Linked DNA regions of Struthio camelus. The protein of the gene in region 1 interacts with the protein of each later gene in a pairwise test. Links are inferred from orthologs where the notes say so. Each region holds a gene or a part of one and is shown in the gene's direction. Other genes may lie near its edges. The genes, in order: MAPK9, LNX2, SHMT1 and WDR62.

What was found.
Region 2: the proteins of MAPK9 (region 1) and LNX2 interact in binary tests that used the Homo sapiens proteins (3 or more experiments, as listed by UniProt). The link is inferred for Struthio camelus from reciprocal best matches to the Homo sapiens genes MAPK9 and LNX2.
Region 3: the proteins of MAPK9 (region 1) and SHMT1 interact in binary tests that used the Homo sapiens proteins (3 or more experiments, as listed by UniProt). The two-hybrid records come from large-scale screens. The link is inferred for Struthio camelus from reciprocal best matches to the Homo sapiens genes MAPK9 and SHMT1.
Region 4: the proteins of MAPK9 (region 1) and WDR62 interact in binary tests that used the Homo sapiens proteins (3 or more experiments, as listed by UniProt). The two-hybrid records come from large-scale screens. The link is inferred for Struthio camelus from reciprocal best matches to the Homo sapiens genes MAPK9 and WDR62.

What each region holds. Positions count from the first base shown.
Region 1 is NC_090954.1:6,436,388-6,443,931, reverse strand, and holds the start of MAPK9 (mitogen-activated protein kinase 9), read left to right. Parts: upstream 1-4,542; 5' UTR 4,543-4,713; intron 4,714-5,319; exon of another isoform or gene 5,320-5,397; intron 5,398-7,544. Other genes in the region: GFPT2 (glutamine--fructose-6-phosphate aminotransferase [isomerizing] 2), read left to right, coding at 1-158, 567-728, 1,232-1,276. UniProt on the Homo sapiens protein: Serine/threonine-protein kinase involved in various processes such as cell proliferation, differentiation, migration, transformation and programmed cell death.
Region 2 is NC_090942.1:200,708,274-200,716,222, forward strand, and holds the start of LNX2 (ligand of Numb protein X 2), read left to right. Parts: upstream 1-4,941; 5' UTR 4,942-5,073; intron 5,074-5,149; exon of another isoform or gene 5,150-5,284; intron 5,285-7,352; exon of another isoform or gene 7,353-7,449; intron 7,450-7,949. Other genes in the region: protein POLR1D, read right to left, coding at 4,229-4,254.
Region 3 is NC_090956.1:3,587,800-3,594,820, forward strand, and holds the start of SHMT1 (serine hydroxymethyltransferase, cytosolic), read left to right. Parts: upstream 1-4,017; 5' UTR 4,018-4,086; intron 4,087-4,210; exon of another isoform or gene 4,211-4,394; intron 4,395-4,917; 5' UTR 4,918-4,940; coding exon 4,941-5,042; intron 5,043-5,119; exon of another isoform or gene 5,120-5,228; intron 5,229-5,608; exon of another isoform or gene 5,609-5,671; coding exon 5,672-5,817; intron 5,818-6,210; coding exon 6,211-6,326; intron 6,327-6,414; coding exon 6,415-6,575; intron 6,576-6,869; coding exon 6,870-6,951; intron 6,952-7,021. Other genes in the region: chemerin-like receptor 1, read right to left, coding at 645-1,721. UniProt on the Homo sapiens protein: Interconversion of serine and glycine.
Region 4 is NC_090957.1:1,836,892-1,844,739, forward strand, and holds the start of WDR62 (WD repeat-containing protein 62), read left to right. Parts: upstream 1-4,843; 5' UTR 4,844-4,858; coding exon 4,859-5,048; intron 5,049-6,017; coding exon 6,018-6,109; intron 6,110-6,313; exon of another isoform or gene 6,314-6,450; intron 6,451-6,494; coding exon 6,495-6,557; intron 6,558-6,650; exon of another isoform or gene 6,651-6,752; intron 6,753-6,878; coding exon 6,879-6,936; intron 6,937-7,225; coding exon 7,226-7,458; intron 7,459-7,806; coding exon 7,807-7,848. Other genes in the region: THAP8 (THAP domain-containing protein 8), read right to left, coding at 2,094-2,210, 3,402-3,762, 4,442-4,638. UniProt on the Homo sapiens protein: Required for cerebral cortical development. Plays a role in neuronal proliferation and migration.

The sequences.
Region 1 (7,544 bases):
AAATCACCTATATGCACTCTGAAGGCATCCTGGCTGGTGAGCTGAAACATGGGCCATTAGCCCTAATAGATAAACAAATGCCGGTTATCATGGTGATAATGAAGGATCCTTGCTTCACCAAATGCCAGAATGCTCTGCAACAGATCACGGCTCGACAGGTAAGCTGTCCTTATAGGAAAAGAGAATGTGCACATTGAAATGTATTGCTGTTGACTGTGCTTCAGAAATAGGATTTTTTTTTTTCTTTCTAATTAGAAAGTTGCAAGTAAGGTGCTGCATCTGCATCACAATTTGTCATTAAAGGTTGACACCAGTAACAGAAAACTGACTGCATGTGAGTGTGTTTTGGTTTTGAAGCAAGTGGAAAAATGTTAAAAATCTACAGGACGAAAACATTCAAGTCTCGTTTACGTAATGGCTTTTGTCACTCACGCTGTTGTGCAAGACTGACATTGTTCTTGTCTACTATCGAGTGTCTTCAAACATATTACAGACGTGCCGTGAACCAGTATCTCAAAGTATTTCTAACCCAGATATTCACTAACTCTTTAAAATCTCATCTTCAGGGTCGCCCAATCATTCTGTGTTCCAAAGAAGACACAGAAAGCTCAAAGTTTGCCTACAAAACAATTGAGCTGCCTCATACGGTTGACTGCCTTCAAGGAGTCTTGAGTGTTATTCCCCTCCAATTGCTTTCGTTCCACCTGGCTGTTCTCAGAGGATACGATGTAAGTGCCTTCTATATTTAGGCAATCCAGTTAGAGCAGTTGTGAACTTCCTCCTACCAGCGTAAAGTGAAAGATATAGTTATATGGCATCTCTAACAAGGAACTATGATAGTAGTTAGGGGTACTGGTAGTGACTGTGATAGTAGAAGTGACACTTTAGTGCCAATTCTTCAGCTCTATTTTTGTAATTGGCATCCTTAAAAACAAAAAAATTCAGAAATATAATTTGCTTAGTTCTGACTCTTTAAGAATGCAAAGGTACCCTGTACCTAAGGTACCTAACAAACACGGTTTTGCACAGGGTACCTTAGCAGGGCTTTGGAAGCAAGGATGACTTCAACAGTGAGTCATTATCTGCAGATCAATAGTCTCCAGTGTGTGTTCATGAGTTCTGCTCTATCTAGACATATTAGGAAGTCTAAAAAAGCACATATGAAATTAAGTGTCAGATGAAGAATGTTAGTTTTACTGTCGTATACTGAAAGTCTGTCTTTTCATTCTAGGTGGACTTTCCAAGAAATTTGGCCAAATCTGTTACCGTAGAATAACAGCCAAGAAAAGTGGATGTTTTTGTCACCAGACCTCTAAGTTATAACTCTATAAATGTGTGTGGTGTTTTTTTTAAACTTGATAGGTACACATTTTTCTAAAGAGAATGACAATGCTAACTGGAAAGTGTCAGAAGGCTTTATCTTCTTTTTATGCAGCTTTAAAAGCTTTTGATGTGCCTTGTACCCAAGTGCTTTTGCTCACAGCAAACGTTCCTCTAAGTTCTGAAATTGCCAAAGGAGAAGATAAAAATCATTGTTTACACATGGTATACTGAATGAAGTTTTCTACTGTGCAATATATATATAGAGCTCTCATTAGAGCAACTGTGAACATTTTTTTTAGCCTTCACTACTTAATTAGTTTTAAAGATATAGTATTTATAAGTACAATTGTATAGCTTTTTTAAGTTATTTTTTTTAAGTATGTTGCTTATCTTGTAGCATTGATAATGCTCAGAATGTAAATACTGAGCACACTGACACTTGTGTCTGGTTGTTAGGTTTTTCCTGCTTCAGCCTCAAACGGCAAATCTGTTGTCCTTTTTCCTCCTCGGCTTGCCCTCCCACTTTGCATCTGTGTTTGTATTTAACCAGTCTGTTCCAAAGCTCTTCTGTGGCTGTAAATTGCCAGCTATGTCTTAAAGTCATGCTTCTTTCAACGAACTATTTGAAAAGCCAGAGCAACAGTTTGCTTTGTATGCTGCCCCAGCTCTTATTTGCATAACATGTACAGTGCAACAAAATAAGGGAACTGGATGTCTTTCAAGCGATACTTCTGTTTGAAGAGTTTACGATGAAATTACTATGCAATTAAAGAAAAGATGATGTAAATTCTTGCTGTTTGTTTTTTTCTTTTCCCATCTGACTCCTCCTCCTTTCAGTCTGAACATGATACAATACTGCAATACTCTTATGCCAGTAGGAGAGACAGTGCTCCCCTAGCTTTGCCTAAACCCTGGTATCAAGAGTTCTTTCTCTTCTGTTGCTTGAGGTAGGCGTGTGTGGGTTACTTTGTTTTGTTTTTGTGTCCTACAGATCTCTTTTTAGCCACGTGTTCTTTTACAAAGGTGAACACACGTCACTCTCCTTCTCCAGCAGCTGTATCTCAAAACAGTGAGTTGGGTTTTGGTAGTTTGCTCCATATCACGCTTTTTTCCAGGCACACGAGTACAGGAGAAGCAGAATTTGGTGACTGCTCCTCAGTTTTTCTTTTAGCTCTCCCTGCTCAGCAGGCTGGATGTTGTGAGCTCTGTTTTTTGGGTACCTTAACTCAGACTTTAGGAATGCTACTAGTAGAATCTCATGCTAAAAATTAGGTAGACCAGGCCTTCGTGTCCCCACCACTACCTCCCTTTGGGGATCTGGGTTTCAGTTCCCTATTTGTGATGACTGGAAGAAAATGACTTTAAATTGAGGAAAATGAGTAAGTCTTGCTAGTCTAGTAGACGTAAATACTAGTAGTTGGTGTGATGGAGTTCATTTAAATGCTAGGTGACTCTTCGGAGTAATTTAACCGTACAACATTCCTAGCTAAAAGCTTCACCAGACACTTAATAAAACGGCAGTAGAATCTTTGGCTATAGTTCTGACTACAGTTCATACTAGTTAGTGACTGAGGCTTGTATTCTGCCTTCCTCTGATGTAAATGAATGGGAAGAACTTTCCCAGAGCTGAAACAGGAAGCTATGTCTATATTTTACACTTGCTGTCTGTGGTCATAATGTTGCCTTCTAGGCCAAGAAAAAAATTGCAATAAACTTGCATTTTAATAGAGTACCTACTTTACAAATAATGGCACATTAAAAACTATTTCAATAGCAACAAAAATATTGTTTACACCTTCAAGCAAGTACTAATCAAGGAAAAATAAGAATTTTGTTAATATAAAAGGCCCTACTTAAAGATTTCAGGTCTCAAACTGTATCTATTTGCAAAGGCACACTTTTTTAGTTGTGAACTAGCAACAGGAAGCATCAATAGGCCTCAAAGAAATAAGGTAGATATATGCATGAGGGTCTGTAGTCATTTGTAACTATCAGGAATGATCTCTTTCATTTCTGTTTTTTGTTTAATAACTCATCTAAATCCTTGACTAAACATTTTCTTTATGTATGTACAAGACATCCCCCTGCAGGTTTGCTTCTAAACTGAAATGTTTAGAACGTAGGTTAATAATTTGAAAGGGGTACACTAGCTTGCTGTAATAGAGCCGTTTCTGATAATTACTTTTTATAACTACCTAGAAGAACCCCAATCATAACTAAAAGCACTGTGATAATCTGACCTAGATGCCCAGGACATGTAACTCAATATTTGACCTGCTTTAGTAGGTAACAGAAGGGTGCCTCCAACTCTCTAGAATTACTATCCTCCTCATATTAATAGAGGAGCTATTACAGGAAGCTGACAGCAGTGCACTTCAGAGGCTAGCTGAACTGATTTATTTAAAATAAAACTGCAAAATAAAACTGTGGCTTTTTTTTTTTAAATCTCATGCGTGAATAAAAAGAACGGAAAAGAAAGCTTGCTCTCTTTTCCTAGGAGAGGCAGGAAAAACACATCAAGTCTATTCTTGGTCACCACCTGTTTTAAGAAACAAGCAGTCCTAAGGTCAAGGTAGAGAGATGTATAGAAAGCTTATGTTTTTTTGAGAGGGGACAAAAACAGTTGAGTGAGGTAGGAGATAAATATTCCCTTGGCCTCCGAACCAGCCCTCGCTGGAAGAGCTGCGTGGAGCTGGTGGGTGTTGGTACTGCTGCAGGTGCGAGGGGACATAAGGGTGCTGCTGCTGCTGCTGCTGGGGCCCTGTCCGACCCTCCCACCCTGCAGTGCAGGCTTGGCCACCCCACATTGTCACGGGTCCTACCAGGAGCTCCTGAGCACGGAGGTGAGGTGAGGGGCTGCCCACGTGTGATGTCATCTTGGGCTGTTGAGGGCCGTGCTGACCTCGCAGCGTGCCTCCCTCCACCTGCTGGGGCAGGGCCGCTCTGAGGAAATGCTGCCGTCACCCGGCCGTGGGGGCTGGCGCCACAGCATCTCATGACGGGGCACCTCTGGGCGGTGATGACATCATAAGCACGGTGACCGCCTGACATGGGATGATGACCTCACTCCAGGGGGCGGGGCCGCAGCCGGATTGGCTGGAGCCAACCTGTCCCCACTGCGGCCCTTCCCCGTCACCGCCTCCCTCCCTCGTAGAGCGGCGAGCGGGGTCCCGCCCCCGGAGCTCGATTGGCTGAGTGCGGCCCCCGGGAGGCGCGATTGGGCAGGGCGGGTGTCTGTCAGCGGGCGCAGACCTGGCGCGGCCTGTGAGGGGCAGCGGGAGGCCATTGTGGCTGGGGTGGCCCCGCGCGCTGGAGGAGCAGGGCGGCTGCTGCGGCCCCGCAAACGCAGCGCCCCGTCCTGTCCCGTCCGGTCTCGCCGCGGAGGAGACGGTGAGAGCGAGGCGGGGGGCGGGGGCGCGGGAGGGGGCCGGCGCGGGGCTGCGGCGGGGCCGCCTCCCGGCCGTGTGGTGAGCGGAGCCCCCGGCTCGCGCGGGTCGCCGCCCGCCGCGGCGGCAGGGCGGGAAGTTCCCTCATGTCGTGGCCCCCTCGTCCTCCTCCTCCTCCTCCGCCGAGAGGCCCCTTCCTCCTCCTCCTCCTCCTCCGCGGGGCCGCTTTGGCCGAGCCCCCCGCCCTTCCCCTGTGCCGCATCGCCAGCGCCGCCCGGCCGCGGCGGCCCCTGCCCGCTGCCTTGGCGGCTGCCGGCTGCGGCGGCGCCCCCGTCCCGGCCCGGCCCGGCCCTGTGGGAGGTGGGGGCCGGCCGGCCTCCTCGCCCCGCTGCCCCGCGCCGCCTAACGATGCGGCCGGCCCGGGGGCCAGGCCGATGCGGTGCTTCTCAGGCAGCGAGCGCCAGCCTCCTGCTGAGCCAGAGCAACTTCGCAGCGGAGGCGATTTTAGAAGTATTCGTATTTAGTTATGCGGCTCTTATGTAATCTTGAAACAGCGTGATTTGTTACAGCAGATGCACGGTTAAACTTTTTTTTTCCTCCTTCTGCCAAGTCGTGCTAGCAGGAGAGCTGAGGTGCATCCAGGGTTTGTCTTCAGCGTTTTATTGACAGCCAGATAATGCTATAACAGGTAGTTGTTTACAAAGACTTTCGTCACTAGTAGTTTTGGAAATTTAAAAAAAAAAACTTTTTTTCAAAGTGCTAAATTGATACGGAGTATTTCTAGACTGCTGTAACTGACTAATGTCAGTTACTGTTTTGCTGCACTTATGTTCTGTAGCAGACTTGTTCCAGGCTGGTAAGTGAAGTGATATGGGGTAAATTGTAATGATTCTGCAAGCTGGATTTATACCTGTTGATTTATTGCTATTGAAGGCGGTTTTTACCTTTTTATCTTAATGTGCCTTAGAAAAGGGCGTCCTAATTTGAAATGCATTTATAAATGTGAATAAGAGAATGGAGGAAGGGGGAGATTTTTCCACACAGGCTTTCTGTATCATACCCCCCTAGTGTCTTCATCCAGTTCGTTTAGAAACAGTCCACCTGATTACAAATATATATATGTGTATGTATTTATTTGTTTATATTATACACACTTTTCTCACTGCCAGTGATGGAATTTTAGCTCAAGGTTTAAAAATCTAGCTAAGTATTTAGCCTTCATTGTCATTAATGCCACTCTGTAACCAAAACAACGCTGGGAATGTATTCACAACTGTTACAACCTGTTTGTTTCAGAAGCTTTTGACTTGAAGATATCCAGAGGACAGATCTGGTTAATAAGAAGTTGCCATTTTAATAAAAGCTTCTTAGAGAAGTGACTATTTAATACAGTATGTGTACTATAGTGCAGTTGCTTTCAGCCTTTTTTAAATTTGTTGGCTGCCCCAGATTTTCCACTGGGAAGTGGAATTCTGTATAACAACTCATAAGCCTACTGTGGTAGGTTTGGGGTTTTTAGTTCTCTAATTATCTTTCACGGACTGCAGGTTGAAAACAACTCCTGTAGGTGTTTTTACGATTACTGCATGTGATGTGCTGAATTAGGTTTGTGGTGATTCTTTCAATCTTGACTCATTTTAATTCAGTAACATGCTGTTATCAATATGTAGAAGTATGTTTGCTGATCGTCCTATGAATGAATGTTTTGCACTTTGGTGCTGATCGTGTTTGTAGCTGCAGCTAGGAAGCTGTAACTGAAAATGTGTGTTTCTGCAGTTGAAATACGTCTACTTCCAAATGATTTCTCTATAGGAGAAGCATGGAATTTGTTATGTGTCCTGTTAACAGGAGTGATGAATCAAAGTATTTTGGGTAGGAGAGTTACAGCTCAGGGCTTGGCTTTTGAGCAATGGAAAATCTGTTTTTACTCAAGGGGTCTGGCCCCCAAAATAGACTCTCTGCCTTAAGCCCAGTGAACACCTACAGTCCCTACGCACCTAACTTTCCACTGATGGGTATGTCTGAAACAGCATATGTCCTAATGCTTCTGAACAGCTTGCAGCCCAAGTAAGAATTAGGACTCAGCTTGCTTCTTCCCTTGCATGTTTTGTGGAGAAGCTGGGTAGTCAGCACTGTGAATTCGAAAGGATGTCAAAATACATAAAAGCTGCACGTTATTTCTCTTTAGGTCTTGTCCAAAGAGCTTATCCTGTTTTCTAAATGAAGTATTTTTGAAAGATGGTTTTGTACAGGCAAGGTTCCTCTAAGTGAGAGTTTCCTTGGTTCAGGGTAACTTCCTTTTACCCAACTTTATCTCTGTAACAAGAAAGTGCTTCATTAACCCATGAAGAAGTACAGTTTGTTTTTTCACATAAATAACTATTTTTTTGACTTGATGCCCAGCTTATTCAAACTTTATACTTTTTTCCCCTCTGAAAATCTTTGCCAAAGGTAGGATCTTGACCTTTCTTCTTATCTTGCCTCTCCAGTCATACCTTTCTTCCCATGTGTGAAGATTTACTGAAGACACCAAAGCTGCTCAGTGACTGTTAATCAAAAAATTTGATACGTTAGAGTTAGCTTTGGAATAAAAAAAAATCTGTGTTTGCATGTGATTCCCTTTCTGGTGGGTTCCTCAGCTAATACTCTGTCAACCAACTGAGTTTCTTATGCTTTTTGCTTAAAGGAAGACTATCCTCCTAGAGTTTATCCATGCAGGGGATGTTGTAAATGGTATTAGTGCCTACGTAATGCTTTGGTATGCAACTCCCTGTGCATCTGACTGCACCTGAAAGTGTTGTATAGGAGACTTGCATTTCTCTTCCTCCCTGCCCG
Region 2 (7,949 bases), on another chromosome or scaffold:
CTTGCATAAACTCTAACAACTGGTACCACAAATGCACGTGCCTGAACAATGGGAGAATGTTAAAGGCCGCAAAGTCAAGTAAAATCATTCATGTTTTCTCTCGGTCGTTCAGAAAAAGGGTTAACCTTTTTGCTGAAAAAGATCAAAAATATAGATTAAAAAATGAACACAATTAATAACAGATACAGATAAACAGATACACATAAAATTACAGGCAATGAGAACAGGATATGACTACAGAGAAGACTGGATGCTTTTAATTATAGACAGCACTGCCATACCTACCCATGCCATCATCTCATCAACGATCCCCAAGAGAACTGTACCGGCAACGTATTTACTGGAATTACTTCACAGCACACAATCAATTACTGATATGCACAGATCTGGGAGCAGGAGGGCAATAATCAGATACAATTTTGTACAACATCTCCCAGAGTAAGAGAACATTTTATCAAATAGATCTTCTCCAAAGACCTTTGTAGCATTAATAATCAACTGCAGTCTATACCAGTAACGTTCAACTTGAAAAGCTAGGTTATTGAGCTATGGTGATCTCTGAAATCACTGAATGCTTAAATCTACTTTCTGAAGTACTCTAGGTCCTGAGAGCTAGCTACAGGCCCAGAATGAACAGCCAGTTTCTACATCAATTTTATCAAAGTACTTCTACGCTGACTATGTACGCTATTTTTGAGTGCGTGCAGGATCCAAAGTAAAGGGGCCATTGGTACTCAGATTATCTCTGAAAAATTAGATATCAAGACTTTCCATGAAGCCAAGGACTGAAGCTATTGCCTGCTACAGTAGAAGAATGACACGAAAGGCCAATGTTTGTATAATTGACTCCTACGAGTTAATTTGTCCTATTTGACCACATTTATTACAAACACTGACAAAAAGGGATATCAAAAAGAAAGCCTAAGCCACAACTAAGAACAAGAATAAAAAAAGGCACTAATATGCCACAGACTTTCTACCGTGTGTTCAAAGGCAAAGATATTCCACATCAGGCATGCTCATGCTCTAACTCTCCCCAGGCCAGGATTATTTCTTACCTAGCTAAGTCTATTTTCAGCACATTTCCGTGCTGATACTCTCAACGGCTTTGAGGAGTGAGGATACCACAAAATTTCAAACAACGACTTTAGCTTGCAAATCACCTTTTTGGCCACAAATATGGGAAAGAATTACATACTGAACTAAGTAACATGACAGTTAGATTTTTAACTTAAAAATAACAGAAAGAATAGTGAGAACTGTCGAATAATTTCTCCAAGGCACAAAACTTACTTGCTGGAAACTATAATCGGGACAGCAAAAGTACTAGACTACTGATTGTCCACAATGCAGCTCTTGTGTACAGAACGTTATCTCCTTAAGAGATGCTTATTTCCAAGTACATGATACTCCAAGCAAGCTTGACAGGCAATTCTAAGAGGCTATGATACTAAAGGTTGTGAAATATCCAGAGCTGTTGAGAGACGAAATTGATTATGGAAGAATCTGGACACACAGCACAGCAAAGCCACTTCCTTTATATTGCCAGATTAACCACGTATTTTCTGTGCTTTGAACACACAGACCCATGAAGACAGCTGGTGGGAATTGTTTGGATAAGGAAGAAAATAGTGACCTCTATCATACCCCAAAGGACATTTAGTAGGAATTAAGTAGGAAAAGTAAGTACACCTGCTTATAGGGAAAATATAAGATAAACAATTCTCAGTAGCTGATTTGTAACCTTTTTTCCTACTTCCTCTAGGATCATATACATTTTACTCTGAATTATATATTAATAGAACGTGGCTTAACATTTTACACACTTGAAGTATTTACAGCTTTTAGGGTTTTAAATCCCAGGGTACGCAACAGTCACATGGTAACACAACTTAGCATCAGCTTTGGTAGTGACTACCACTTTCTATCAAAGCGAGAAAAACATCAAACACAAGATCAAGCGAGAGCCAGACACTGTAAAATGGAAAAATAGAAGCAACACCGAACAAGCAGAACAGAGAGACTTCTCTTTAGATGGTCACAAAAAACTGGGACAACTGACTCCTCTCAATAAATCGCTGTTTGGAAACCTGACAAAATGCACTTTAGGCCTGAAAGAACCTGCATTAAAGTAGTTACAAACTTTTTTTTATGCTACATTAACTAAAACCACACATACAAAAAGTCTTACACTGTTATTGAAGACTCGTGCACTGAGATAAGACTAAACTGAGATAAATACGATGAAAAATATTCCAAATAAAAACGTTTTTGAAACATCAAAAATCTACCTAAAATATTTATGCTGTGGCTGCAGAAGAAAAATGCCATTATTCGTAGGCCAAAGCAATATTTTAAAGGGCCAAAAATTACGAAAGCTAACTGCCATAGCTGTACATCTGACATAACGTGAGTATGATCACCAGGTAGCTGGATATGAGACTAACGAGTCATGTCTGTAAGCCAAAGGATAAAGAGAGGTCAACACTAGACTCTTGGGGACTGTATGGAGAAGTGTGATGGGAAATGCTCAAATACGACATTTAAATGCACACAGTGTGAACTGAATTAAGGGTGCTACTAACAAAAAGAGCTTTTTTGAATACTGAGAGCATGAAAAAGTAATTAGCTAATGAAGAAGTGTAAGACAGATCCAAGATAGAAAACAGTAACCAATAAGTTCACTATACTGTATATATAATATGCAAGGAGCTGATTAAACATGTAGCATGGATTCAAGGTGCAGGACAGTTAAACCCTTCTGTGCCTCCTCTGGCAAATAATACACAGTTTCCTCCTCACTATCTACCTTACTGCCATGAAACAGGAATAGTATATTCAGCATCAGCTTGAAATAAGAGGCAAATTTGGCTGGTGGAAAGGAGAGCGTCAGAAAGAGACTCTGGAGCAATCTCTCGCAGCTACGCCCCAAACTGCCTGGAGAACCACAAGTCCCCGGCACGTCAGCAGCGGCCAGAAGAGAGACAGAACGTGGAAGGAGCTGTGACAAAGTTTAGATTTGATATGATTAAAAAGGGGGGCATAAATTTGGAACAGCAGTCATAAAAATAACATTCCTGCATATTTAGAAAGAAACTTGAATTTCTGTACTGATGATGTGAAAGGGGAGGTAGCGTACAAGAATTAAAGGCCTCTTAAAAAGCTTTGTGCTCTCTATGCCTTCCACCACGCCAACACTATTACATTTGTCCTATTTAAAATACTTGCTAAATATAAACAGCGAGAGAAACAAGTTATTTTCTACCGACTCTTAAAGTCAAGGAGAAGAATCACGAGAAGAACGGTTCAGAAAGCCTCTAGTCATCGCTGTCCCCTAAGTTTTCTGCCTGTTAGAAAAGTGGAGCGAAGCTCAAGGAACCATGTCAAAAACCCACCACGTTAATCATTTCTTCTAGACAAACCTGCAAGAAATAGCATGATTATCAAAAGAAAAGATCTACCTGTGCTGTAAATACTTAGAGTAAAGCAGGAGTAAGGCACGCCTGCGAGGACTGAATATTCGGAGAGAGAAACGTGCGTTTCAGTCCGCAATGTTTGCTTGGGAACACCACAGCTCAACCACAGCTCAGCACGCGCAGCAAAACACATCGGCTCATCCACGCCAAACCGCAAGGCACGGAGCACGTTCCTTTTTTGACAAAACGACCGCAAACATTTTGCCATAATACAAGAAACGGGTCATTTTAACAGCTGGTCAGCTGGCAAATCTCTAACGCTGAGAACCAAAACCGACTAGAGTACAAGTTTAACTGTGTGTTTTTTTTATTTTTTTTTGATTTTAGCAAGTGAGGCTAATTGCTGACTTCCAATTAATGAGAGACGAGCCAGCTAATGCTTTTAAATCTTCTTCCTGAACAGTACCAGCAGCATTGCGAGGAGATTTGACTTTTTTCTTTTCAAGCAATGATACACGTATATATTTTCACATTACGCCGGAAAAAAATTCATTTAAAATTCATTTATTTCGCACAGCAGCGCCCGAGGGGAGGGTTCAAAGCTCCGTCCCGAAGAGGCCGAGGGAGGAAGCCGGCCGCCGCGCACCGCCCACCCCGCGCGGCCTCCCCGGCCCCCCGCGGCTCACAGGCCGCCGGGTCGCGGCCGGCACCACCTCCTCCTCCTCCTCCTCCTCCTCCTCCTCCTCCTCCTCCCGCCGCCGCCGCCGCGGCCCAGCGAGGCCCGGTGGCGCAGCCCGCCGCCCCCCGCTCACCTCTCCAGCTCCGGGTCCTCCTCCATGGCGCGGCCCGCGGCCGCCGCTCAGGCGCAGGCCGCCGCCATGTCCCGCTGGCGGCCGGCGGGGGCGGGGCGGGGCGGCCGAGGACCCCGCGGGGGAGGAGCCGGGGCGGTGCCGGCCGGCGGCCGCCTCCCCCCTCCCCCCTCCGCACCTGCCGCCCGCCCGCCCGCCGCGCCCCGGCCCGGCCCCGGCCCCGGCGCCGCTGCCCCTCCCCGCCGGCTGCCGCGGGCGCCTGCCCCCGCCCGAGAGGGGCCGTTTCCTTCAGCGCCCCCCGCCCAGTTGCTGCGGGCGGGCGGGCTCGGGAAGCAACTCTGGCGCCAGTCCTGGCGGGACGGGGCGACCGGGGCTGTCCGCGCTCGCTTTCCGCTAAGGCGAGCGGGGGCCGGGGACGGGCTAAGAGCGGGCTTGGGGGCTCCTCGCCCAGCGCCGGCAGCGGCGGCTGGGGCAGCGGCGGCGGGGGTGCGCCGGGGCACGACACCGCCCCCCGCGCCGCGGCGCTGCTGCCCGCGGGGGCCCCTCACCCTCCGCCCGCGCCGCCGCCGCCGATCAGGCGAGCGGCGGGGCCACCCCGGGGCTGCGGCGCGGCCCGCCCCGCCCGCTCCCATAGGCTGCGGCGCCCCCGCGCCCGGGGCTGCCGCCGGCGAGGCGCGGCGCGGCGCGGCGGGGCGGGGGCACCGGCACCGGCGCGGCGGGGACGCGGCTGGGCCAGGCGGGGCGGGGCGGGCTGGGCCGGCCCCGGCCCCGAGGGCTCTGCGCGCCCGGCATGGAGGCGAGCGCGGCGCCGCTCTGAGGGGCGGCGGCGGCGGCGGGAGCCGGCGGCGGTGAGTAACTTCCCTGCCCGGCTGGGCGGCCGCTGAGGGGCGGTGGCCGGAGGCGGCAGCGGGGCCGGGCCTGCTCGGGCCGGGCCTGCCTCGTGGCGCAACAAGTCTGGGGCGGGCGGGCCGGGGCCGGTGTTCGTTCAGGTCGCGTCTGTCGCGTTGAAAAAACCGTCGCGGCTGGCGAAGCAGGTGGCAGCGCTGAGGCGGCGGCGAGGTGGGGGAGCGGCGGCGGCGGGACGGGGACGGGGACGGGGACGGCAGCCCCCTGCGGCTCCGCCTGCCGCGTTTCTGATGCACAGCCCGTCTGGTTGTGCACTGCGCCAGAAATCCGCGGTTAAGTACTGCTGGGCCCCATCTAATTCCTTTTTTAATTACACGATGTTGTGGGTTTTCTTTCGCGCTCGCGTACAAAGTAGGAGTTTCTGTTACGCGCTGGCTTTGGGGTGTCGTTGATCCCCCTCTGGAAATAAATCATAGAAGCGTTTGAGCTTCTTTGTTCAAAAGAGAAGCTGCTCTGAGCTAGGCTCTTATTAAATAAACAGCTGGACCGACCGATTTCTACTCCGCTACCCAATTCCTTGTGGCCTCGTGATGTTTTATTCTAAGCTGCGATCCAGCAGCAGATCAAGGAGGCTTAGGAAGAAACATCAGATGGTTTCAGTTAGTGTCCCTGCCCGCTCGGAAAATAACCACCTTAGTACTGCCATATGCCGCCGTGACTTTTATTAAAACAGATTTCCTCAGGGTGGAAACAAGGTATTTAAGCATACTGTCTGGGACCGTAAGGCTTAATAGGGCCCTTCTAGCATTTACTTTTTGAAGCTCACTGAGTGAGGAGTCTTCTCTTCCTTAAACGCAGCGCTGCAGAACGATAAACCCCGAGTTCGGGAAACTGCAAAGAACGCCCTTTTGTCCAGTGGGAATCTTTTTACATAAAAGTTTATGACATTTCTGATTTTTAAGCTTCTGTGTTATTAAAATTCTAAAATCTCAGTAAACACAAAAAAACCTCCTACACATTGATTTTTAGATCCGAGTTTTCTATAACAAATTCCTACCCTACTGACTTCAGCGACAGATAGCCCAGGGCCTTGGACTCGGGTCTGAGGCTTGCACAAACAACATGATTTCCTAACCCAGGTCTTTAACCTTTTTTTAAAATTTGTTCAAACATGAAGCTGCAATTTAGGAATGAAACTTTGCAAGAGGAGTGCAAGCTGGTGACTAGGTGGAAAAGTTTTGTTCTCTTGAACAGTTAGGTTAATTTAAAAAATAAGCCTACTGAAGCCTATCATATATAATTAGAAAAATATTGGCTTTGACATTGCAAGCTTTTGCGTGTGTGTGGAGCCGACTCACATAAAAGCCTTGATGACCTTAGTGAAACTTTGTTTTGTCATAAGGCTTTGCCTGAACTGAACAGCCTGTGAGTCTCACTATACGTTTCTGGACCAGCATCACTAAAAAACAGCAGAAGTTTGTTAGCTTCCAGTTAAAACTGTCTACTTGAAAATACTTCAGAATATTCCCCTGCTAGACTTTTTTTTCAATCCTATCCTTCTCTTAATAAATGCTTTAAATACAGCCACTTAAAGCCACCGTGAAGCAGAAGTGAGGCTTACAATATCACTCTAAAAAAGAAATGTGTAAGGATATGATGTAGTTTAGACACTGGAATAGTATACATTAATTTCATAAATCAGCAAGATGCTGCTTGTTTAAAAAGCTATTAGATATTAAGAGCTGTAATAAGAAAACAACCTTTATTCAGAATGAAAATGCTTCCTGGTGTATGGAGGCACCAGAGGACACTGGAAATCTGTTTGGTCTAGTCAGTGGTTTGTCTTTGATATTTGAAAATTCTTTGTTGATTTAGTTTGGAAAAGCAATTTAATGTGACACCGTTGAATTGCATGCTTCTAAATTGCTTTATTAGGTCAATGGAGTTTTTTTGTTTAGAAATCATAGTGCCTTTTAAGGATGAAAACCCTTTTACGTGTCATTATTTAATTATGTAATTGTTAGGTCACGGTGTCTAGAGAGCAATAAAAGACAATAACATTGTAGTCTCTGCTTTTTATGGCCTCAATTCTGTAGGCATTCATGCGTATGTTTAATTCTGAAAGTTCAAGTTTTTCTTGTGGAATATGGTGGGTCTATTCTTGGGCTTGATGTTCAGCCTGTGCGTGAATGTCTTGAGGATTTATGTTTGCAAAGTTTGGGGGATAAACCTGTCCCATTTTCGTCCTGACTGTTTTCATCTTTTGCATGACTTCGTATAGGTAGATGACTTCTGGCTTGGCAGTGAGGGCTGGCTAACCAATGGACATGTAACGAGAAACTCCCAACCGTGCCATGGGTCTCCTTCCCTTACAGATGGTAGGAGTACTGTAGAGGAGCTGACTTCATACTTGTGCATTGTAGTGGTACAGACATCTCTCTCATTTTTGGAAGTGTTTTTGATCATCTGAATTTGATTAGGTGACAACCCTTTGCATTCTCTTAGATGTTTATTTGAATGAATGTTAGTTTCACAAATAGCTTAGGACAGTTTCTGTTTTGGAATTTGGGCTGGGAAGAGAGGGGAGGTTTCTAATCTGAGCCTCTCTGATAGTGAGCTAGTGCATTATATGGTAAAAACAAAAGGCTGTGTAAGGATGCAGTTGTTTGCTGTAAAATCGGGTAACTTTTGAAGTTTTAAGATTTTAGGCAAGATTTTAAGTTCCGTTTTATGATTCTGAAATTTTTCCATCTAATCAGTAGAAAGTATTTTAATTAAAAAAAAAATTGCGCTAAGATACTGCAAGATACAATGTTTTCAGCCTCGTTTTTAAGTAAGCAAATTGTATTGTTGCTCTGTATTTGTGGTAGTTTAAGAC
Region 3 (7,021 bases), on another chromosome or scaffold:
GAAAATAAAGGGAGCTTGGTCAACGGCTTCACAAACTCGGTGCACAGAAAAGATCACCTATTAACAACTGCAAGTTGTAACGGATCAGCAGCGCTGAAGCAGCCAGGTCTGAACAACCACCTCCCTGCCGATGGTTGCCCTCTCAGCACAGCCAGCCGGGGGGGGGGGGGGGGGGTATTTTGCCAGCAGTCCCAAACACAGTGACAGACAGCTGGCAAGGCAGGGCAAAGCCCCTGTGGGCTTTACACACAGCAGACGGGCACAATGGACACGAAATACTCTGAACTACGCTCAGTGCTAAGGAACCCAGCTGACAAACGAGCACAAGTGGCAGAAAAGTCACACTGGTCTGTATACAAAGGAGGTGTCGCATAGGTATGATGGACCACAAAGGATGGAGAAGTGAAATGGGCAGCAAAGGAAGGGGCATACGGAACAAAATGCTGCTACTTTGACTTTCCCACCCTGCTGCAACTCCAACCAGTTGTTTCATTTCTTTAGTATATTAAGTCATGGCAGATTTGAGATACCTCCAAAATGTCAAATCACACTTCCGTCTGGCAATTATAGCTCTGAAATGAAGGGAAACAGCAGAGAAGAGAACTGCCCCTCTCCAACGGAGCCGGCAACGCAGCACAAAGCGCTCAAGCCCTCGGGACCTCCACTTCCGAAGCGGACCTGGACTTCCGCCTGCTGGCCAGGATGGACTCCTCGCTGAAGGCCCCTTCAAAGGCTGACAGGATGGACTGGCGAAACTTCTCCTTGAAATCCGGCCCCACAAATACATACAGGATGGGGTTGATGCAGCTATTGAAGAAAGCAAGGCTAGAAACCAGGGGGATCCCTATGTAAAGAGCCATTTTCATCTCATGACTGGAAGAGTTTTTGGATATTTCCAGCAAGGAGAAGACGTGGTAGGGAAAATAACAGAGGAAAAAGGAGACTGTGACAGCAATGATAATTCTGTATGGCTTTGCAGAGTTGGCTAACTGCCTCCTTTTCAGCTTGACAGCAACAATGCTGTAGCAGATGAGAATCACCGTGAAAGGGATGAGGAACCCGCATAAGAATCGCGTTACAATCATCGCTTTAAGCCGCATCCTCCACAGCCTCCGCGTTGCCTCAGACGTGTAGTCGTCGGACAGCGCAAAATTGTTGTAGCAGCTGGTGATGTTCTTGGAGCTGACCGCAGTGTCCCGAAAGACGAGGTACGGGGAGCTGAGGAGGAGAGCCAGGACCCACGTCCCCAGCGCAACCCTGGCTGCCAGCTCCGGGCTCCTGCGGTTGTGAGACCACACGGGAAAGGCCACAGAAACGCAGCGGTCCATGCTGATGACCGTCAGGAGGAAGACGCTGGCAAACATGTTGAGGAATGCGATGGTGCTGTTCAGCTTGCACAGGAGCTTCCCGAAGGGCCAGTGGAAACCCAGTGCAGTGTAGGCAATGCTGAGGGGCAGGAAAAAGGTGAAGATGAAGTCAGCGATGGCCAAGTTGAGGAACCATACGGAGTTCACCGTCTTCTTCATCCTGAAGCCTGCAATCCAGATGACAAGGCCATTCCCCGTCACCCCCAGCAAACAGGCGATGCTGTATACCACCATGGAAAGGATATGCATGCTCTTCTGCAGGCTGGAGTAGTGATCGTGGGCAGTGGCGTTCCCAGCCAGCCCGGTGGGAGAACTGGCAGAGAAGGGAGAAGGGGAAGAGGAGAAGTTCTCCATCACCAGCAAGCCAGATTCCTGAAATCATAAAGGCACACACTTCTGTTACCTGCAGCTCCTACAGCTCAGATGAGGTGAAAATCTTTGCTTAACTGCTGTACACAATATGTATACACAATGCCAGACTATATCCACTTTATATACTTAATAACAACCGTCTGCCTATATAATGGCTGAAAGGCTTCAGGCTGGCAGAGGTACAAGGAATTTAAGCCATTTGAACAAGATCCAAGCGAACCTAGACAGAGGGTCTGTGAATCTCTTGGGCTGATCTGATCCTAAATATGCCCTGGAAGTGATGGTATCTGATGAATATCAAAACAACCCAAGGGTAGAGGAGACATCTGAGCAGAAGTTCAGCCACCAAGTGGAAAACTCAGAGTCGTACTGCTACAAGCAAAAATCTGAGGCTCCCTCAAGACAAAGGCAATTCCACATTTAATGAGCAGTCCCCTGGATCCCTGCAAAGCTTATCGCCACCACTGAACACCAGCCTGCTTTCATTGAGAGATGTTTTAAGCCAAGAAATGATAATAAACAATGATTTTTTGCTTGCAACTCCTTTCACCTCATTGCAGCCCAAGGCGCTGCGGTGCAAGGGCTGGCATCACCCAGAGCGGCCTTCCCAGTGCCACATTGCCCTGGGAGCTGGAGAGTCGCCGCACGGCCATGTGACCCTGGCACTGCTCTGCACATCACAGAAACCATCTCAACCGGAGAAACCAACTGAGGTATCGCCATCAGTATCGGTGGTGGCAGAACAACCCTTCCATAAACTGCCTACAAAAGCAATCAGACATGGGCTGACAGCAGAACCAGGGAAACCCAAATCCTGCTGCTGCAAGGAATCGTCTTGGGATGGCCAAGGACAGATTAAGATAGCAAAAAAAATTGGCCAAACTGATAAAGCTTAGGTTACAAGACCATTGCTTCAAGAGATACCTTCTAGGGACGTGTACTCTAATAGGCAGAAAAACACTTAGTATAACTGTCAGCCACATGCCCACGAATCCCCCTCCTGGTAAGCCCCCAGTTTCCCTTGCCCCTCTTGCTCACCCCAGGGCCCCTTATCACAGGTGCACGAGAGGACTCACCACAGCGCTCTGCTCCTCGCTCTGCCACTGACTGCTGCTCTTGCCTCCTGGCTGCCTCACCGTTAAGACACTGCTCTCTGGAGTGACTCACAGTGCCTAGTTTCATCTTTCCATGCCTTGGGATCATGGGGAATTTGGTAGGATCACTTGTTCCTTAGTCCTTTTCCTCAATTTATAATATAGTGAATTTAACCCCTGAATTTCTGGCTGTTGCATGGCTCAAGTTGGTCAACTGCATTAGCTAACTTGGCTTCAAACCACAGAGAAAACAAGGCCCCTCTCCTGCCTATGCAACTCATCCCTGAGCGGTAGCTTCTTTCCTCTCAAGCACCCAGACACCCCACTGGGCATCCAGGGTTCCCTGCTGCAAAGGGGAAGGAGCAGGCACCAGTCCCCATGGCAGCAGCACCTGGCTCTGTGCATGGCACACTCAGCTAACGGCATCATGCCACGGGGCCTTGCAGGGAGGGGTTTGGCAGGGAGCACCCGGTGGCTGGTGGGGTGGCTGGGAAGCACCCTCTGGCTGGCAGGGCTGCAGCTGATGTGGGGAACACCCTCCATCTGATGGGTCAGCTAGGAGCCCCCTCCAGCTTGTGAGGTGGCAAGGAGCACCCTGTGGCTTGTGGAGTGGCAGGGCTCCCTCCAGCTTGCAGAGAGCCCCCTCAGCTTGCAGGGTGGTTGGGAGCATCCTCCAGCTGGTGGGGTGGCAAGAAGCACCCCCCCCCCCAACTTGCAGGATGGTTGGATGTATCCTCTATCTGGTTGGGCTCCAGGGTGGCAAGCAACACCCTCCAGCTCATGAGGTGAGGAGCACCTTCTGGCTGGCGTGAAGCACCCTCCGGCTCCTCCTGGGAGCACCCTCCAGCTGGTGGGGTGGCAGGGGGCCTCAGAGCACCCCCCAGGTCGTGGGGCAGCTGGGAGCACCCTCCGGCTCACAGGGTGGCAGGGGGGCTCGAAGCACCCCCAGCCCACGGGGCGGCCCCGCGCCCGCCGGAGCGCGGCGCTGCACGGGGCCAAGGTCACCCGCGCCCGCGCCGCCACGCGCCAGTGGCGCCGCCAGCCTCGCCTCGGCGCGGGCCAATGGGGCGCGGGGAGGAGGTGAGGCGCGGCGCGGATTGGTCGAGACGCTTCCTGGGCGTGTCCCTCGCCAGCCTACCGGGGCGGTGGTCAGGCGGTGATTGGCCGAGGCGCGGAGGGGAGTGTCCGAACGTTCTATGGTAGGCGCGCGGCTTCCCGCGCCGCGTGCGGGAGCGTGACTCAGGCAGGGGCAGGTAGGGAGCGCGCCCGGCGGTGCCGCTCGCCCCACGGGGACCCTCGGGGCTGTGGGCGGGCTTGGAGGAGCCCAGGCGCGGGCCGGGCATGCACTTGCCCCGAGCTCCTGCTTTGCCCTCCCCGGGGGGACGGGAGAGCCCCGTGGCCTCCCACCCTGCCCTTCCCCGCAGCCTTTCCTCCTTGCAGGCAGCTTTGGTGACAGGGCGGTGGCGGCGGGGAGGGTTTCCACGGTGCCAGCGAGGACCCGGGCTTGCGGGTCGTGGGGAGGCCAGGCCAGAGCAAGCAGGAGTGCGGTTGCACAGCCAGGGTGGGTTGACACGAATAAACTAAATGCGGTTGCTTAATAACCTGCTCACGGCCCTTTGCTAGGCTGGCAGGGTTAATGGATAAAAGAGATGCATTGTTTTTAGCCGAGACGGAAGCTGGGCTGTCACTCTCGTCTGGGAGCACGTGCTCTGCATCATAACGCTTGCAGTGTTTGCACTGGCGGGTGCGGGAGGGCTGCTGCCACAACAGGGCAGCGTCGGGCCAGGCTTCTCCCCAGATTCGGGCTGGGGGAAGCCTGTGAACCTGCCCGCGCAATCCCCGAGCAGAGCGGTGATGGGGCAACGTCGGAAATAACCAAAGCACCGTAACTGGAGAACCATCTTAAATCAGTGGGGCTTCCCCAAGAGGTGTCGGGGTTTTCCTCACCCTACTGGCCAGCCCCCATTGCGTTTCGGGGGAAGGCGTGGGATGGGAGCAGGTAGCACGTGGGGGACACGGCCCAGAGGCACCCGGCCCCACCGCCATCCCAGCCAGCTCCACAAACTCTCCCTTTCTGGCTCCAGGCTACGTTGGACCCAGCAGGCAGATGGCGAACTCGGCGCAGGGCAGCGGGGGCCTCCCCAGCACGGAGCTCTGGGCCTCCCATAACAGGATGGTAGTGGAGCCGCTCGACAGCAACGACCCGGAGGTGAGAGCCCTTTCCTGGCACGGGCCTCGGCAGCGGAGCAGCCTGTACGGTCAGTGCAAGCAACCTGCTTCACTCACCCTCTGGGCCTGGGCAGCCACGGGGACGCTGACCTCCCCAAGCTGGTGACGCAGGGGCGAGACGGTCCAAGGCTGAGCTGGGTCTCACCAGGTCTCTGTGCCAGGTTGCCTGCAGCGAGAGGTGGAGAGGAAGAGCATCCTCCAAGTGCGTTGCTGCACAGTAATCGAGCTAACACGGTCTTCACTTCACATCTATTGCTTATACCCCTCTGCTTGAAGCTCACATGTCTGCACAAGCACAGATGGCCAACCAGACCAGCATGGCCAAAGCCTAGTGCATTTTGTAGCCACCCTAGACTCTAGCCCAAATGACAACCAAATTAGCTGGCAGCTTCCTGGCAGGTAGAGACCCAAAACGAGGCCTATGACAGAGCGCATGACAGAACCTGTTCAGGATCGGTTGTACCAAGAAGGGGTCTCATTTTTCTTCTCCAGTACCTTTCCAAGCCGCTCTCCATCACGCTTTCCCCTCTGAGGGTGCATCCCTACCTGGCAGCATCCATGTCTCATGCAGAGCCAGTACAGTGAAGCAGTTTCTCCTGTCTCCCAAAGGTATACAGCATCATCATGAAGGAGAAGCAGCGCCAGAAGCTGGGGCTGGAGTTAATCGCCTCTGAAAATTTTGCAAGTCGAGCAGTCCTGGAGGCCCTGGGATCCTGCATGAACAACAAATACTCTGAGGGTTACCCAGGACAGAGGTACAGGGCAGGGCAGAGTCCAACTGACCCAAACCCTTACAGGGAAAAGAGAAACAACCCACCCCGTGCCACTTCCCTCTTGAAATCTCACCCCCGGAAAGGAAGCGGTATCATGGCACTGGCCCAGCCAGCCGAGCTCCTCCAGGGCAGGATCTGAACCCCTCAGCTTCTGCCCGTGGCTGCGCGTGGGACCGTCTCTGCAGGGTCACATCTGCTGCAGCTGCTGCCCTGGTAGCTGCCGCAAACATGGCGTTGCCTTGGTTCTCCCCAGCCAGCATGGCCTTGGTCACGTGGACCTTTCTGAATAATCAGTTTGCTTTTAATCCCCTGCAGTTTGCTCTAAGCAAACAACACCAACCCTGGCATAAATCCCACCTTGTCCTTTGCCAACAGGTACTACGGCGGGACAGAGTTTGTAGACGAGCTGGAAAGGCTGTGTCAGAAGAGAGCCCTGGAGGCGTACCAGCTGGACCCCCAGAAGTGGGGAGTCAATGTCCAGCCGTACTCAGGTAACCGTGCTTGGCAGAGCCAGGCTGCGCTCCGTCAGCCCCCACGTGCCCTGGCACTTGTAACAGGCCTGCTGTGCTCTCGCTGCAGGGTCGCCCGCTAACTTTGCGGTGTACACGGCCCTGGTGGAGCCCCATGGCAGGATCATGGGGCTGGACCTGCCCGACGGCGGCCACCTCACCCACGGCTTCATGACGGACAAGAAGAAGATCTCTGCTACCTCCATCTTCTTTGAGTCCATGCCCTACAAGGTATGGAGAACCACTCCAGCTGGAGCAGGGACGTGGCAGTCATAAGCGTTACAGCCTCTTAAATGCAAGAGTAATGGGGTCCAACCAGGACGGTTACATCTGTGTCCTGTCCCCAGGGTGTGGGTGACCTGGGAGGTTAGAAGGAGGATGACTTAGAAGGGGTGGGATGCCCCTTCCCCTCTCACTACTTGTGCTGTCAAATCACCCTTCTCCCCGTATCCCCTCCTGCGGGATGGCGCTGGGACTGATCCTTACCCATGCCAAGGTGGCTGAACTGTCCTTTTTGTCTCCTAGGTCAACCCCAAGACTGGTTACATCGATTATGATCGACTAGAAGAGAACGCCCGCCTGTTCCACCCCAAGCTGATCATAGCAGGTGAGGGTCAAACCCTTATTAACCTCCCTGGTAATGCACCAGGACTGGGGTGGCTCCCTGAAGCCATTAG
Region 4 (7,848 bases), on another chromosome or scaffold:
GGAGGGGCTACAGGGGCTGCAGAGACTGCAGAGGGGCTATGGGGGTCACTGGGGCGACAGGGGCTATAGGGGCTGGAGAGGGGCTAGAGGGACTAGAGCAGCTGTAGGGTATATAAGAACTGCAGGGGGCTATAGGGGGCTACAGGGAGTGTAGGGGCTATAGCAGCTGGACAGCGGCTGGAAGGGCCGTAGGGGCTAAAGGGATTATAGGTGCTGGAGGGGCTATTGGGGCTGCAGAGGCTACAGGGGCTATAGGGGCTGGAGTGAGGCTACACGGCCTGCAGGGGCTATAGCAGCTGGAGGGGCTATAGGGGCTGGAGGATCTATAGGGGTTAGAGGGGCTACAGAGGCTCTGGGAGCCAGGGAGGTGCCGCAGGGGAGCTATAGGGGCTGCAGTGGGGCTATAGGGGCTGCAGAGCAGCTCTAGAAGGAAATCGGGGGCTATAAAAGCTGGAGAGGCACTATAGGGGCTGCGGTGCAGCTATAGGGGGCTAGGGAAGCGTCATAAAGGCTGTAGAGGAGCTATAGGGGCTGGAGAGTGGCTATAGAGGGTTATGGGGGGTATAAAAGCTGTAGAGGGGCTATAGTGGCAGGAGAGCGGCTATAGGGGGCTATGGTAGTGTCATAAAGGCTGGAGAGGGGCAATAGGGGTTGGAGAGCAGCTATAGGGGATTGTGGGGGGTTATAAAGGCTGCAGAGGGGCTCTAGGGCCTCCACGGTGGGTTTTAAAGGTTGGGGAGGGGCTATAGGGGGCCATCGGGGGCTATGAAGGCTGGGAAGAGGGTGTAGAGAGCTATGGCGGGGGGAGTCATAACGTTTGAAGAGGCTATAGGGGCTGGGGAGCAGCTATAGAGGCCTGGGGAGGGGGTAATCAAGGGCCAGAGAGGGGCTATAGCGGTCTATAGGGGCTGCAGTGCAGCTACTGGGGGTACAGAGAGGGGCTATAGGGAGCTGCGGAGGCACTGCAGCGGCTGGAGAGCAGCTATAGGGCAGCTACAGCAGGTAGTGAGCGCTATAGGGGGCCGAGGGTGCTGGGGAGAGGTTTATGGGGACTATAGGGGGCTTTGGGGGCTATAGGTGAGGACAGAGACGGGAAGCGGGCTTTGGGGGAGGTTACAAGGGGTGGAACGGCGCTCGAAGCGGTATAGGGTGCTATAGGGGGCACGTGGGGGGCAACAGGGGGTGGCGGAAGGGGCCTAAAGAGGGCTACAGGGGCCTATAGGGTGCAAAGAAGTGAGAGGAGCCATACGGAGGCTGGAAGGCTGCTATAGGGAGCTGGAGGGGCTGTGGGGGCTCAATGGGTCGGAGAGATGCTATAAGGGGGCTATAGGGGGCTGCAGGAGGGGCTAAGAGAGCAGAGAGGGGATTATGGGGGGGCCTATAGGGGCAGAGACTATAGGGAGGGCGAAGGGCCCCTTCCTGTATCTATAGGGAACTGGCAGCACAGACTCGCCCCAAGGGCTGCCACCTTCTTTCCCCGCTGCCAACAATCCTCCGTTAACTCTGGAACCTACTGACAGCTGCAGCCCAGGGCTCAGAGCGCAGGGTCAGCAGACAACCAGCCGCCACCCAGGGGTGGCCCCAGGGCCGACCCCCACCCAAGGGGACCTCCGAGGGCCGACCCCCACCCCGGGGTCCCCCCCCCACCCTGAGGGTCGAGCGTCACAGACCACCCCCCGCCGCCGCCATCACTTTTGTCTCCGTTCAGCCTTTATTAAAGCGATCGACAATCCCGCCGCCCCGTGTCACAAAATAAACCCGAAATTAAAAAAAAATAAGGTGCCCCCCCACCCCAATCACCGGTGGGGCACGAGGGCTCGTCACCGTCAGCACCCAAAGGTGTGGGGGGGGGGGGCACGGCCACCACCCAGCCACCGCTTCGGTCCCCTCCGCGCCCCCCCCTCCTCCCCGAAACCGCCTTCCGCGGGGCGATTCCCGGGGCGGGGGGGGGGGAAGCCAACCCCCCCCCCCCAACCTCCGTGGCGAACGCGCCGGCTCGCGGAGCTCGAGGCGGCGGTTGTCACCCCGGGGGTTGTCACCCGGCGCGGCGGCGCGTTGTGCCGCGAGCTCGAGGCCCCGGCCGGCGGCTCCGCTCACGGCTCCTCCGGGCGCGGGACGGCGGCGGTTTGCGGCGCGGCGTACGGCACCGCCGGCTCCTCGTCCCGGCAGACGACGGTCACGGTGTTGCCGGGCTCCGGCTGTAGGCAGGCCTGGAGGACGAGGAAACGGGGAGGAAACGGGGAGCCGCCGCGGGGCGGAAGAACAGATTCGGGGCTGGGGGGGGGGGGGGTGAAAGCGCTGCGACGGCGGCGAGCCGAGACCGCCGGGCCCAGGACGAGGCGTCCCGGGGTGGGGGGGGGGGTTTGGGGGTCCCGCGGGGGTCCCGGGGGGGTCGCGACGCTCCGCGCCGCCGGTACCTGCAGGGCCGCGGCCGCCGGGGCTGGGCTCGGCCACGGCCTACGCGCGGCCCGCCCGGGGGAAGGGCGGCGCTATAGGGGCTGCAGAGGGGCTATAGGGGAGCTATAGGGGCTGCGGGGGCTATAGGTGCTAGAGAAGGGCTATAGGGGCTACAGGGGCTGGACAAAGGCTATAGGGGAGCTATAGGAGCGATAGGGGCTGGAGAAGAGCTAGAAGGGCTAGAGGGGCTGGAGGGGAGCTATAGGGGCTGGAGAGGAGCTATAGGAGCGATAGGGGCTAGAGCAGCTAGGGGTGCCAGAGAGGAGCTATAGGGGCTCCAGTGACCACAGAGCATATAGGGGCCGGAGGGGAGCTATAGGGGCTGGAGAGGAGCTATAGAAGCGATAGGGACTGGAGAGGGCCTAGAGGGGCCACAGAGGAGCTATAGGGGCTCCAGCGACTACAGAGCACGTAGGGGCCGGAGAGGAGCTATAGGGGCTCCAGTGACCACAGAGCACGTAGGGGCCGGAGAGGAGCTATAGGGGCCGGAGAGGAGCTATAGGGGCTCCAGCGACTACAGAACACGTAGGGGCCAGAGAGGAGCTATAGGGGCTCCAGCGACTACAGAACATGTAGGGACCGGAGAGGAGCTATAGGGGCCAGAGAGGAGCTATAGGGGCTCCAGCGACTACAGAACATGTAGGGGCCAGAGAGGAGCTATAGGGGCTCCAGCGACTACAGAGCACGTAGGGGCCAGAGAGGAGCTATAGGGGCTCCAGCGACTACAGAACACGTAGGGGCCAGAGAGGAGCTATAGGGGCTCCAGCGACTACAGAGCACATAGGGGCCGGAGAGGAGCTATAGGGGCCGGAGAGGAGCTATAGGGGCTCCAGCGACTACAGAGCACGTAGGGGCCAGAGAGGAGCTATAGGGGCTCCAGCGACTACAGAGCACGTAGGGGCCGGAGAGGAGGAGGTCCCGAAATTCGCGGCGGCGCCACCCACCAGCGGCAGGAGCCCGAGCCCGCGCCGGGCGGGGAGGCTGTGGGCGCGCAGCCGCTGCACCAGGCTCTCCATGGCCTCCAGGCGGGCGCAGTGGCGCCGGCGCCGCTGCTGCAGCCCCTTCACCTTCCTCTGCAGCAGCAGCACCAGGCCGACGAGCTGCTCGGTGCTCAGCTCGGCCGCGGAGCCCCCGGCGGCGGCGGGAGGAGGAGGAGGAGGGAGCCGGACGCTCCGGGAAGGAGGCGGCGGCGGCGAGTCGCAGGCGGTCACGGCCGAGTTGGGGGGCTCCGGCGGGGGGTCCGGCGGCATCGCCCCCTCCCCGTGGCTCTGCGGCGCGGGGTCAGCGCGAACCGACGTCCCGAATCTGCGCGAGGGGCCGGAGCTGTCGGTGGGGGAGGGGAGGGGGGAGGCCAAGGCCTCCTCCATCCCGGGGTTCCCCTCCCCCCCCCCCCAGCAGCTCCCCCCCACCACCACCCCGGGGTGCTCTTGGCCCCTCCCCCATCCTGGGGTGCTCCCCACCCCACCCTGGGGGTTCCCCTCCCCCCTACCCCGAGGGGCTTCTGGCTCCTCCCCCTCTTGGCCCCTCCCCCACCCTGGGTGCTCCCCGACCCTTCCCCCACCCTGGGAGTTCCCCTCCCCCACTCCAGGGGGCTCCCGCCCCTCCCCCACCCCGGGGCTCCCCTCCCCCCACCCCGAGGGGCTCCTGGCTCCTCCCCCTCTTGGCCCCTCCCCCACCCTGGGGGGTTCCCCTCCCCCACCCTGGGGTGCTCCCGACCCCTCCCCCACCCTGAGGATTCCCCCCCACCCCGAGGGGCTCCCAGCCCCTCCCCCACCCCGGGGGCCCCTCCCCCACCCCGGGGGGCTCCCAGCCCCTCCCGCTCCCCCCTCCCAGCCCCACGCGACCTCTGCCCGGGCCCAGGACACGGCACCACCCCCCCCACCCACCCCCGCCGCGTGACGTCACGGCGCGGCCCGTGACGTGCCCTGACGTCAGCCCCCGGCCGCCAAGACCCGGAAGCGCCTGCCGGGCGGGGCGGCGGTACCGACTCGCGGAGGGGGGGGCGGCGGCGGCGGCAGGAGGCGGCGGCAGGAGGCGCCGGGCCGGGCCGGGGGCGCTGGGGCAGCTCGGGGCCCGGCACCACTCGGCCACCACCACCGCCGCCGCCGCCGCCCACGTGACGCGCCGCCGCGCTGCGTCAGCGCGCACGCACGCACGCCACGCCCCTTCCCCGGTGCGCATGCGCGCTGCCGCAGGCGGGGAGGGGCGGGGCGCCGCCATAGCAACGCGGCCTGCACGCCGGAGCCGAGGCGGGGCGGGGACATAAACACGGCTTCCCCACCCCCTCCTCCGCAGCGGCGCCGCCTATTGGCCGAGCCCCGCGCTGATTGACAAGGGGGCGGAGCGGGCGGCGCCCCGCTCTCCTATTGGTCGAGCCGCTGAGCGGCGTGGGCGGGGGCCAATGGGGTGGGGACGCCGGCTGGCCGCGCGCAGTTCGGAGCTGCGGCGGGCGGCGGCGGCGGCCCGGAGCCATGGCGGGAGCCGGCGGTCCCGGGCCCGGTCCCGGCCCCGTTCCCGGCCGGGCCGGCACCGACTCGCCGCCTCTCTTCACCCTCCGGCGGCGGTCGCGGCACCAGGGTCCGGAAGACGCGGTGAGGCGAAGGGAAGGGAGGGGGCGGCCGTTGGCGGGGGGCGGGGCCTGTGGGGGGCTTGGGGGCGGGGCCTAGGGGTGTTGGGGCGGGGCTTTGGGGGGAGCGGGGACCCCCCATGGGGCGGGGCTTGGGGGGCCCATAGGGATTGGGGTGGTGGGGGTGGGGCTTGAAAGGGGGCGGGGCTTGGAGGTCCCCGTGGGGATTGTGGTGGGGGAGGGGCTTGGGGGCAAGGCTTGGGGTCCCCATGGGGATTGGGGTGATGGAGGCGGGGCTTGTAGAGGGGGCGGGGCTTGGGGTCCCCATGGGGATTGGGGTGATGGAGGCGGGGCTTGTAGAGGGGGCGGGGCTTGGGGTCCCCATGGGGATTGGAGTGATGGAGGTGGGGCTTGTAGAGGGGGCGGGGCTTGGGGTCCCCATGGGGATTGGGGTGATGGAGGTGGGGCTTGTAGAGGGGGCGGGGCTTGGGGTCCCCATGGGGATTGGGGTGATGGAGGTGGGGCTTGTAGAGGGGGCGGGGCTTGGGGTCCCCATGGGGATTGGGGTGATGGAGGTGGGGCTTGTAGAGGGTGCGGGGCTTGGGGTCCCCATGGGGATTGGGGTGGTGGGGTGGGGCTTGTAGAAGGGGTGGGGCTTCGGGGTCTCCATGGGGATTGGGGTGGAGGGGTGGGGCTTGTAGAGGGGGCGGGGCTTCAGGGTCTCCATGGGGATTGGGGTGGAGGGGCGGGGCTTGTAGAGGGTGTCGGGCTTGGGGTCCCCATGGGGATTGGGGTGGAGGGGCGGGGCTTGTAGAAGGGGTGGGGCTTGGGGGTCTCCATGGGGATTGGGGTGGTGGGGGTGGGGCTTGTAGAGGGGGCGGGGCTTGGGGGTCCCCTTAGTGGGGGGACTAAGGAGTCCCCCTGCATCCTCGTGGCTTTCCCTCGACTTCCGATTTGGGGGATTTTGGGGGTTTTTTCTCCCCCCCCCCCCCAGGTTATGCTCGAGCGAGTGCTGGGAATAACCACCCAAAGCAGCAGCGCGCTGGCCTGCGACCCCACCACCGGGCAGATCGCCTATCCGGCGGGGTAAGCGCTTCTCGTCCCCCTTGGTCCCAAATGATCCGGCAGCCCCCGGCAAACAGCGGGGGGGGGGAAAACCCCTTCGGCTCGCTCTCGCCGAAGCCGGCTTGGTCGAACGGCGTTATTTGCCGTTGCCGCCCGGAAACGCCTTAACTGACCTCAAAACCGCATCCCGGTTTGGTGCCAGCACTAAACCTTTGGCTTCTCCGAGTTTAAAACGCGGCAGGTTGCCGTTTCCTGCAAAAACGCTTTTACGGGAAGGCTTTAAAGCTCTCGGCGGTCTCTCTCGTCCTCCCTTAAAACCCCCTTCGTTCCTCCGAAGCCGCGATCGAGGAAAACGGCTACCGGTACGCCCTCGATCTCTCTTTTGCCTTTGTTTTTTCTTTTCCAGATGCGTCGTTGTCATCTTAAATCCCCGAAAGAACAAACAGAGACACATCCTGAACGCTTCCAGGTCTCGGGGCGACTTTATCTACCCTCAGCCTCCCAGCGGGCTCGGAGGGAGGTTTGGAAAGCGGCGACGTTTGCGTTCAGGTCGCGTCGGGGCAAAGCGCGCTCCTCCGGCGCGCGCCGGGCCGTTTTCTACCTGCTCAAACGGGCTTGGGAAGGCGGACCGCGCTGACGGTTGACTTTTGGGAACCGTATCTGGGTAGCTTAAAGCTTTTTTTTTTTTCTTTTTCTGCTTTAACGTCACGTTCGACGCAAGGAAACGTTAGTTTGCCCTCTGGCGTGGCTCTCTGTAGCCCAGTTCTTAAAAACCCTCATCTTTTTGCAGGAAAACCCTGAGTGCTTTGGCCTTTTCCCCCGACGGGAAGCTTATTGTGACCGGAGAGGTGAGTCTGACTCGTTTGTAATCATGCCGTTTGCCCGTTTTTAATTGCCCAGCGCTGGTAAACATCCCTTACGAGCAGCACAGAGTAGCCAAGAATATTCCTCCAGCTTTTTTTTGTGTGTTTTCCGGCCCGTTTCCAGCCTTGGGCACTGGGGATCCCGGTCAGTCGGCATGATAACGCTGCTCATAGCAGTCAGCTGTGAACTACGCGCCTGGCTAGCGCAGCGGATGGGGAGGAGGGGGATCGAAAACGGGCTGGAAAATGTCAGACAGCCCCTTTTTTTTGGAAGGGGGGGCGGGAGCGGCGCTGGCAAAACGCGAAAGCCTGCTGCCGCCCCGGCTCCTCTCGCAGAACGGGCACCGGCCGGCCGTGCGCGTGTGGGACGTCGAGGAGCGGACGCAGCTCTCCGAGCTGCACGGCCACAAGCACGGCGTGGCCTGCGTGGCTTTCTCGCCCAACGCCAAGTACCTGGTGTCGGTGGGCTACCAGCACGACATGATCGTCAACGTGTGGGACTGGAAGGTGAGCGCCGGAAAGCCGGGAACTTGGCCTCGTCGCCTTCGGTTCGGGCTTCCTCCCTGGAGGCGTTTAAGCGCGCGGGTCGACCCCGGCCAAACTCAGCTCGATTGGCAAATCGCCCGTTAAACCGAGCCGGCTCGCTGCGGCTGAACCGCCTCGTGAACTCTCGCCGAAACACCGCTATCACCCCCTCCCCAAATTGGGGCAGAATAGCCCTTTCCGATCTCTTTGCCTCGTGACGTTCCTGGGGGCGGCTAGAGGCAGCGGCTCGGCAGCAAGATCGCAACGTCGGCCGTTATTATCTTGTCTCGTCGACGAGCCGCTGGGGGCTGTTTGCTTCTTTCTGAGCAGAAGGATTCTCTGGTGGCATCCAACAAGGTGTCCTGTAAGGTC